2 linked regions of the Coturnix japonica genome follow. The protein of the gene in region 1 interacts with the protein of each later gene in a pairwise test. Links are inferred from orthologs where the notes say so. Each region holds a gene or a part of one and is shown in the gene's direction. Other genes may lie near its edges.

The links. The genes of interacting proteins can lie anywhere in the genome.
Region 2: the proteins of ZC2HC1A (region 1) and CASTOR1 interact in binary tests that used the Homo sapiens proteins (3 or more experiments, as listed by UniProt). The two-hybrid records come from large-scale screens. The link is inferred for Coturnix japonica from reciprocal best matches to the Homo sapiens genes ZC2HC1A and CASTOR1.

Annotation. Positions count from the first base shown.
Region 1 is NC_029517.1:109,106,452-109,110,359, forward strand, and holds part of ZC2HC1A (zinc finger C2HC domain-containing protein 1A), read left to right. Parts: intron 1-357; coding exon 358-480; intron 481-3,288; coding exon 3,289-3,396; intron 3,397-3,831; coding exon 3,832-3,908.
Region 2 is NC_029530.1:9,679,048-9,683,437, forward strand, and holds the start of CASTOR1 (cytosolic arginine sensor for mTORC1 subunit 1), read left to right. Parts: upstream 1-1,304; 5' UTR 1,305-1,385; coding exon 1,386-1,498; intron 1,499-1,579; coding exon 1,580-1,650; intron 1,651-3,315; coding exon 3,316-3,509; intron 3,510-3,607; coding exon 3,608-3,740; intron 3,741-3,936; coding exon 3,937-4,060; intron 4,061-4,390. UniProt on the Homo sapiens protein: Functions as an intracellular arginine sensor within the amino acid-sensing branch of the TORC1 signaling pathway. As a homodimer or a heterodimer with CASTOR2, binds and inhibits the GATOR subcomplex GATOR2 and thereby mTORC1.

The DNA of each region.
Region 1 (3,908 bases):
CCTTGTTTTCTAGATGGGGATGAATTTGTTGTTATAAAAAGGATTCTTATGAGAAAAAAGCCCAAGTGTGAGTGTATTATGTAAACTATAAATATAACTAGCAATAATTTTATCTTTTTCTTTTTTTTAATATGTGCATTGGAATTTTAATTCAGTTATAAGCCTACCAAATTACCCCCTTTTTAAAGTAAGAACTCCCTTCCTGTTTGCTGGATTTGTGTCAGATAAATGTCTTTTTGGTAAATAAGAATTCTATGAGAATATAGATATGTAATTGCAAGTACTTTTTTCTTTTTTTTTAATAACTTAAATAGCAATCTGACAATCTCCTTATGAGTACCACTTTATATATTTTAGTAGTAAGATGGACAAGTTAGGCCCACCACTGCGAACTGGAAGAGATGTGCAAAGGTTTTATGACACTGATACAAAAACAGACAGTACCATCAAAAGACCAAATGAATTGTTGCCTATCAAGAAGTAAGTATTGCAAATGAGCTTGGTTTGTCAGTTGTACAGAAATGTTCCTCAAAAGCATTGGAATATTAGAAGTGTGGCCTTGATAGATATCTGCTTCCCAGTACATTTTCATTATAAATGTTGTGGGAATATAACTAATGTAAGTATTTCTTTCACATTAGGCAAATTGCATCATGGTAGGAATGGAAAGGTGATGAAAATGTTCTTCAGGTTTGATTTCTTCTGTCATTGATTCTGCACTCAGAGTAATGTGCCCTGTAAAGCTGAGATAAAACTGAAATGATATGATGCAAAGCTTAAGCATTTAAACCTGTAGAACAGCTGATAACTTTATGATTGCCTTGCACACAAATACTTTATGGCAAAGGAATTTTATTATGCTCTTGAAGTCAAATATTTCCTCCTTCTCCTTCCGTAAGATAGCTGTAATTATCCAGGAGTATAAGTAAGATTTTATGTTGAAAGATTTACATCAAGGCTGCTTTGCAAGAAAATATGTTCTGTCTTTTAAAAAGGAAATAATTATATGATGTTAACACTGTAATAAAATTTGACATCTTCCAAATTACAATGGACTGTTTTTTTCATAAATACCTCAAAGCTTATTACAGAAGAGTAATTAGTAACGAATTACGTAGGCCATATTGGGCATAAACATGTTTAAATCTTGCAGTGTTGTTTTAGTGTTGTAACCAAAGCTGAAATATACTGGCTTTATCCTAAAAATATTTCAACTTCGGATCCTAGTAAGAAGCAAAAGGATAAAAGGGGAGGGGAAGATGATGAAGAATCTGTGACCGTGCTGGAAGACATCTGTCTCTGTAGATCAGATTGCACCGTGCAGATTCAGTTTCAAAACTGGTTATCATATGTTTGTTAAATCTGATTCTAGTTTTAGTGCCTTGATGAGGGGAGCATGAAATTACAGACAGTGGCAGCCTACTACTTCTGCTGTTGATTTACTCATGAAAATGTAGAAGTCAAGACTGAGAATATATCTGAGGGGATTTTTTTGCCATGTTTTTCAGTACTTTGCTTTTTGGGGGTTTTTTTTTGGTTTTTTTTTTTCTGTTTTTATCAGTAGCTTGTATGCCATACTGGGCACCATTCAGATGATGGTTTTAAGATGATGAAAATCTGTGGGGGGTGGAAAAAGAAAGCTGTGACTTATTGATAGATTAGAAGAATTTGGTTTAAAGTATCTAGCATTGCCTAAACAGGAACTGGGACACAGTTCTATTCATTCTTTCATCATCATTGATCCCCAGTCCACTGTTTCTATTACTTCAGCTGAATTATTCTTAATATACTTTCCTAGCTTTCAGAGCGAGTAAAAGTCCAGTATGTGTTTCCTGCACAACTAAGCTTTACTGAATTTTACTTACATTTAAGGGAAGGTCTGTTTCCAATGTTAAGTGAGATAGAGAAGATAACATATGCTAGCTTTTACAACCTGTACAGTTGTGCATACTTGTAACAGCATAATTTGAATTGGTTAAAACTTTTATCCTAGAAGTCTGAAAAACTGATATAACTTAGGTTTTAATTCTGATATAAAATTATGTAGAAATTATGTAGTGCCTTTCAATCTGCACTTTTTTTTTTTTTAATTAAAACATCCTTAGAATTTCTTCGTAAGTAAGAGAGCAGTCAGGAAAATTAAAGGAGAAAAAGCTGGTATTCTGCCCAGTGTGCCAGAATCTCCAACAATTCCATTATGCCTGTTGAATGCAGAAGCCATTCCTGTTAAATTTGAATGTTCTATCCAAATACAGTTTCACTTGATTCAATCTTAAATTTTGTTCACTTGTGTCAGTGCCGTATTTTATCTTTTTTTCTTCATTTATACTTGGAAAACCATAACCAAGAGTATGTTGTCTGTAATTCTGAAAAGAGCAGATAGGCTCATCTGGAAAAAATCATTGTTGGATATTTTTCTTACTGATCAGGCTCTTGGTGACTAAATTTGGATATTTTTCTTACTGATCAGGCTCTTGGTGACTAAATTTGGATATTTTTCTTACTGATCAGGCTCTTGGTGACTAAATTTTATGTGAGATGTTGTATTAATATTTCTTAATATCCATAAGCCTGTCCCAATTTTAATTTATTCGTCAGCATTCAAGAATGAGAACAGAAAAACTTGGTTGGTCATGTGCAAGATATCATAGTCACTAAGTCCTTGCCAAGGAAGAAATCCTGATGAATAGAAATTTTCTTGAGCAATGAAGAAAAATTCTGTCCCTGATCACTGATGAAAAAAGGATGTTCCTTCCCATTTTTTTTTTATTTTTTATTTTTTTTTCCCTTTATGCTGCAGAGTTTTTTTCTAGGGAATTCTGAAGTTTTTACCACTCACCAAAGCAAGCACAGACATGTTTGGTGCATTTAGGGTGTGCACTGGAGTTTAGAAATTGTATACTGATGCTAATAAGAGTCACCAGTTCATTGTGACCTGCGGACTGCTGCTTTCTATTTCCCTGAAATCCCTGCCAATACTATAAAATGACTTAGAGTCTGTCAAGGAAGACCACAGAATATACTAAGTGATCAATAGAGTGGGTTCTACTTATGGCTATCATGTCAAAATGCAAGCCATCATTTAGCTTGCAGTACAGGATTACATTTATATGCAATCCAAAGCAAGCAAGTTTGTGGCAAAGATTTTTCTGTCTGGTGTTCATAGGAAATAAGTTATTAATAATACAGTAAAGTGATGGATGGATTGTTGAACTAATTTTGGTATGTAACACATAATCTATTCTTGTGTGTGTGTATATAATTAATTGATAACTTTTTCTGTTTTAGAGGTGCAACAAAATCACGGATGTCAACCCCTCCTAGTGTGGCAAGAACTATGAGCACAGGTGCTCTATCAAACAAAAGAAAACCTAATAATTCGGACAGTTACTCAAGGTAGCTTTTAGTTTTGTTATTTTTTCAGAAATAGAATCTTCATTCAAGGGTAGTAACCATTGCAGAATAAGTTGGGGAAAATATTGTTCTCTGCAGTTAATAGATAACTCATCGTTAATTTCACTTGTCCTGTTTTAAGTTACTCAGAATTTATTTTCCGTACTCTAATACATCAGCATTGTCATCTGGTGTCTAAGATGTGCAGGGGATAACGTTAGAAATGTCAAAAACCTCTTAGGAACAGTTGAACATTTGGGTGAATGGTCTTTTCAATAACATGTGGCTCAACATACATTAAACGAAAGCTACATGCACAGTACATAAAGAACTTGTCTTGTGTATGCCGTTGGCAGGGAAAAAGGTACTTTTCTAGACTTTCTTGTTTGATAAGCTAATTTTTGTAAGCTCAAAAAGTCATTATATCTGTTTTTCCATGTCTGATAGTAAAACTGGGAATGACACTGCTGACTACCTATCCTCAGTCAACGGAGGAAGTTCAAAAAACAGTGAAG
Region 2 (4,390 bases), on another chromosome or scaffold:
AGCCCTGGCACAGGGTGGCTGAGCCACCTGAGCTCCTCCGCCGCCCCTCAGGGGCCAGGCACGAGCCCCCCCCTCCTCATCCCATCACCCCACGTCCCCTGCAACCCTCCCCCCATCCCCTGCCCACCCCATGCTGTTGGGGCAAACCCAGACCCAGCTCCCCATTGTTTGGGGCTGGGGGTACGTGAGGAGTTGGGAGCAGCCTCTGCTCCCCACCCCCCCCTCTTTATCTAGTGAGGATGTATCAAGCTGTAGCCCAATATGTAGTATGAATTTACCTATTCACTGAGCCTATTTATTATTCCTCCATGGCAGTAACTCTTGCAGGCCGGGGGCCGAGGTTGGGAACTGCAGGCGGGACGCACCGGAGGCAGCAGGATTGGATGGCAGACCCCGTGCCCTGCAGGGCCGAGGTGAGCCGGGGCTGGGGGTGCTGCCTGCTGCGGGGTCCCCTCTCTTCCCCCCTACCCTGCGTCGTGGGCAGGGGGAGGCTTTGTAAAATACAGCGGGGCAACGTGGTTTTGTACAAAGGGGAAATAAAGCAGGATTGTGTAAAGGCGCAGCGTGTGCGGCTCCGTGGGTTCAACGTCTCTTTGGGTGCCGTGGCGGGGGACAGGGGTGCTCCATCCCCTCCATCCCCTCCATGCTGTTGCTCACACTTGCTGTGTGCACGCAGTGTGGTTTGGGGCCTCCCTTCCCTGCCTGGTGGTGGCTGCGGGGTCAGAGGTGGCATCACTCAGTGGCAGCATCCCTATAACTGCGGGGGAACTTCTCTCGTGCATCCCACCTGATGATGTGCGACCGTCCTTTATCCCACCCCGGTGTCCTGCAGCGTCCTGTAAAGGGGTTCATTGGGGACACAGCAGGGAGGTGACCGCCTCGCTGCCCCTCCCAGCCCCGGGGCCCAACGCTGTTTGAAGCGCAGATGAGAGACGCCGAGCTGTGCTGACGCACCTGGAGGTCACCTCCAGCCCCGGGGCAGCTCGGCCGGCTGCCCATCTCGCAGCAGAACCGGGAGCAGCTCCGCTCCCCCCCCCCGCAGCCTCCGTTCTCTGCTTTCCACGTACAAAATGGTGCTCCCTGCAGGCAGGAATGGTGCAAGAACTTCCATCCCCCCTTCCCCAAATCCCTCTGCCCACGAAGCGGCTGCGGGGCAGAACCCTGGTTCCCGCACACCTCCCCTCCCGTGAACTCAGCGGATCCCGACCCCCCCCCCTACCCCGACTTGGATGGATACGGGCCGAGAGCGCCCCAACGCGTTACGGGACGGGGCGGGGCGGGCGGGTGCCCCTCCCGCAGCCCGGGGCGGTGCCGGGACGGGGCGGTCCGGTCCCGTTGGGCCCTTATAGCCCCACGGAGCCCCGTCCCGTCGCGGCGCGGCCGCCATGGACCTGCACATCCTGGAGCACCGCGTGCGGGTGCTGTCCCTGGCGCGCCGCGGGCTGTGGCTCTACACCCACCCGCTGCTCAAACTGCTCTTCCTGCCGCAGCGCTGCAGGTACCGATCCCCTTCCTCACCCCCCCCTCCCTCCTCCTCCTCCTCCTCTCGGTCCCACCGCACCGCGTTGTGTCCCGGCAGGTGTAAGTTCTTCAGCCTGACCGAGACCCCCGAGGATTACACCATCATGCTGGACGAGGAGGGCTTCAAAGGTACCGACACTGCGGCCATGAGTTGTGGCCGGCCTCAGCCCGGCGATGCTCGGAGCTGTGCGGTCAGCGGCCGGCAGGGAACTGCCCTGCTCAGGTTCTCCCTGTTTGGCAGCTCCGGTGCTGCCTAAAGCCACGGGGACGCGGCTGAGCCTCCGCAATGGGACGGGGCGGGGAGTGGGAGTGCTGCCCTTCCCCGCATCCCGCTGCCGGGCCGTGCTGAGGGTCTTTGAGTCCCTGTCCCTGGAAGGTGGCACCGGGTGACATCGCTGTGTAGTGACGCTCTGTGTGCAGCCCTGCTGTGGAGTCTGACCCCACGGGCTGTGCTGGGGGTCAATCCTGACCCCATCCTCTGCTCCAGACCCCCCCCCCCCGGCCGGGCTGTATCTCCTGCTCACGCCCTGAGGACCAAAGGTCAGTGGCTCGGCCGCAATGCGACGCTCCCACCCGGCTGCAGCCCAGCTCCCCACCGCTGCCCGGAGGAACCGGGGCCGATCCCCACGCATTGTTTTATTCGGGACCTTTTGGACATAATGCTCCTCGATCCCGAGGGGCGGGCGGGAAGCGGCAAACAATGGCTGTGAGGCGCTGCACGGCGCCGGGCTGGGGGGCTGCCAGCACCCCCAGGCACCCCATGGGGCCGCGCTGCACCCCCGGGTTACAATTCACGGCTCTGGGGCCGGGTGAGGCTCTGGGGCCCGCTGCTCCCCAAGGCACGGGGACATCTGGGGGCACCCATATGATCGCAGCCCCCCTTGCAGCCCACGGGTGTTGAAAAGCCATTAAGTGGGGACGCGGCACCGCGGTCCCCGTCCCCGGGAAGGCTTCCTGTGCAGGAACAAGCAGCTGCCAGCACCCTGCGCTTGGGACCTTCACATCTGGCCTCGCTCCTCCCTCATCGCTGCAGTGAGCGGGGTGGTCTCAGCCTGTTACTGAATGGCTGCTGCTGAGCAGCGGGCAGTGAGGTCTGGGGGTGCCCACCCGGAGATATTGGGTGCCGAAGGAACAACGTGGCCCCGATCCGTTCCTTCCTGGGGAGCGGGCGTGGGGCAGGAAGGAACCGGCCGGCACACTCATTCCCTGCCAACAACAGCAGCTTTTTGGGAGGCAGCCCTGGTCTACTGCCAGCATGGGCTCAGCCTCAGGGATTACGGCTTGTCAGAGCCGGGCACGGTGTGAGGACATCCCACATCCCCTCCGGTGTGACACGGGAGGCAGAGGATGGGGTGGGAGATGTGCACAGCCCCGGGGTCTCAGTGTGCTGCACCCACTCGTGGCCAGCCCTGCAGGTGCAGGACGAGAGGCACATCCCAGATTGGAAGGTTTGCTCCCAGTATCAGCGCTCCCAGCCCTGTGTGTGGGGCTGCCCCTTGCTGCATGGGGACAGCACTGACTCATGTCCCTGTATGCTGGCATTCAGCATCCTGCAGTGCCATCAGAGCAGGGATGTACGCAGCGTTACACCCTGTGGTGCACGATGTCTTTGCTGCCTGCAGGCAGAGGGCAGCCACCCTCAGCATCCCCTCCTGCATCCCTTAGATCAAGCCATTGCCCCCTCCAGCACCCATAATAGACTGGGACCCACTGTCCCCTCTCAGCGGGGTCCCATTGGGGTTGGGGACACAGCACAGCCCCGTGTCATACCTCAGTTTTCCCTGTCCCACACAGAGCTGCCGCCCTCCGAGTTCATGCAGGTGGCAGACTCCACCTGGTTGGTGCTCAGCGTTGTCTCCAATGGCTGCGCTCCCTCTGGCTGCCAGGCCACCGGTGTCACCAAGATCGCCCGCTCCGTCATCGCGCCGCTGGCCGAGCACCACGTCTCGGTGCTGATGCTCTCCACCTACCAGACCGACTTCATCCTGGTGAGCTCAGTGGGGATGGTGCCATGGGGCTGAGTGGGAGATGGTGGGGACCCCATTGATCTTTGGGGACAGCCACGGTGATGCCGCGCCGCTGCCAGGTGCGGGAGCGGGACCTGCCTGTGGTCATTCATACCTTGGCCGGGGAGTTCGACATCTACAAGGAGGAGAACGGTGAATCCATCCCAGTCCCCTGTGATGATGCCAGCAATGGGTTCCTCAAGCCCAAGTCGGGTGAGCGTCACTTGATGTCCCCAAGGCCACCCCGTCCCCAGTGCCCAAGGGACGCTCCGTTGCAGACACCCCCCGTGCTTTGGGGACCCCTGCCTTTTTGGCACCCCAGGGGACGCCGCTGGCCCGGTGGCCACGTGGTGGCACTGCGGTGCTGTCCCCAAAGGCCCCGGTGACAATCGCTGCCTCTGCCCCGCAGCCCCCAGCCCCACGCTGCACCCCGTGCAGAGCCCCCAGAACCGCTTCTGCATCCTGACGGTGGCACCCGACACGCTGCCTGCCATCGCCACCATGCTCATCGATGTGCTCTTCTACTCCCACAGGTGAGTGACGGGGCTGGGGACATCGGTGTCACCCCTTTGGGTCTCACTCATTCATCCCCTTTTTGACCTCGGGGTGCACTTTGCTGACTTTTGGTCACCCTCGGTTGCTGCCGGTCCTGCTGCCACCTCTGTGGACAGGAGCCCTGGTGTCACCATATGGGGGGGACAAGCCATGCATTGCAGCCATGCAAAACAAAAGAGAAAAGGGTTTTTTATTGCAAATGGGGTGGGCACCCCCCCTGCAAACTCAGCTGCCCGAGTTTCCCAACCCTGTTCCCATCCTGAGGCACCCCTGGCTGACACCAGTGGCACCTTTGGAGCCGTCCCAAT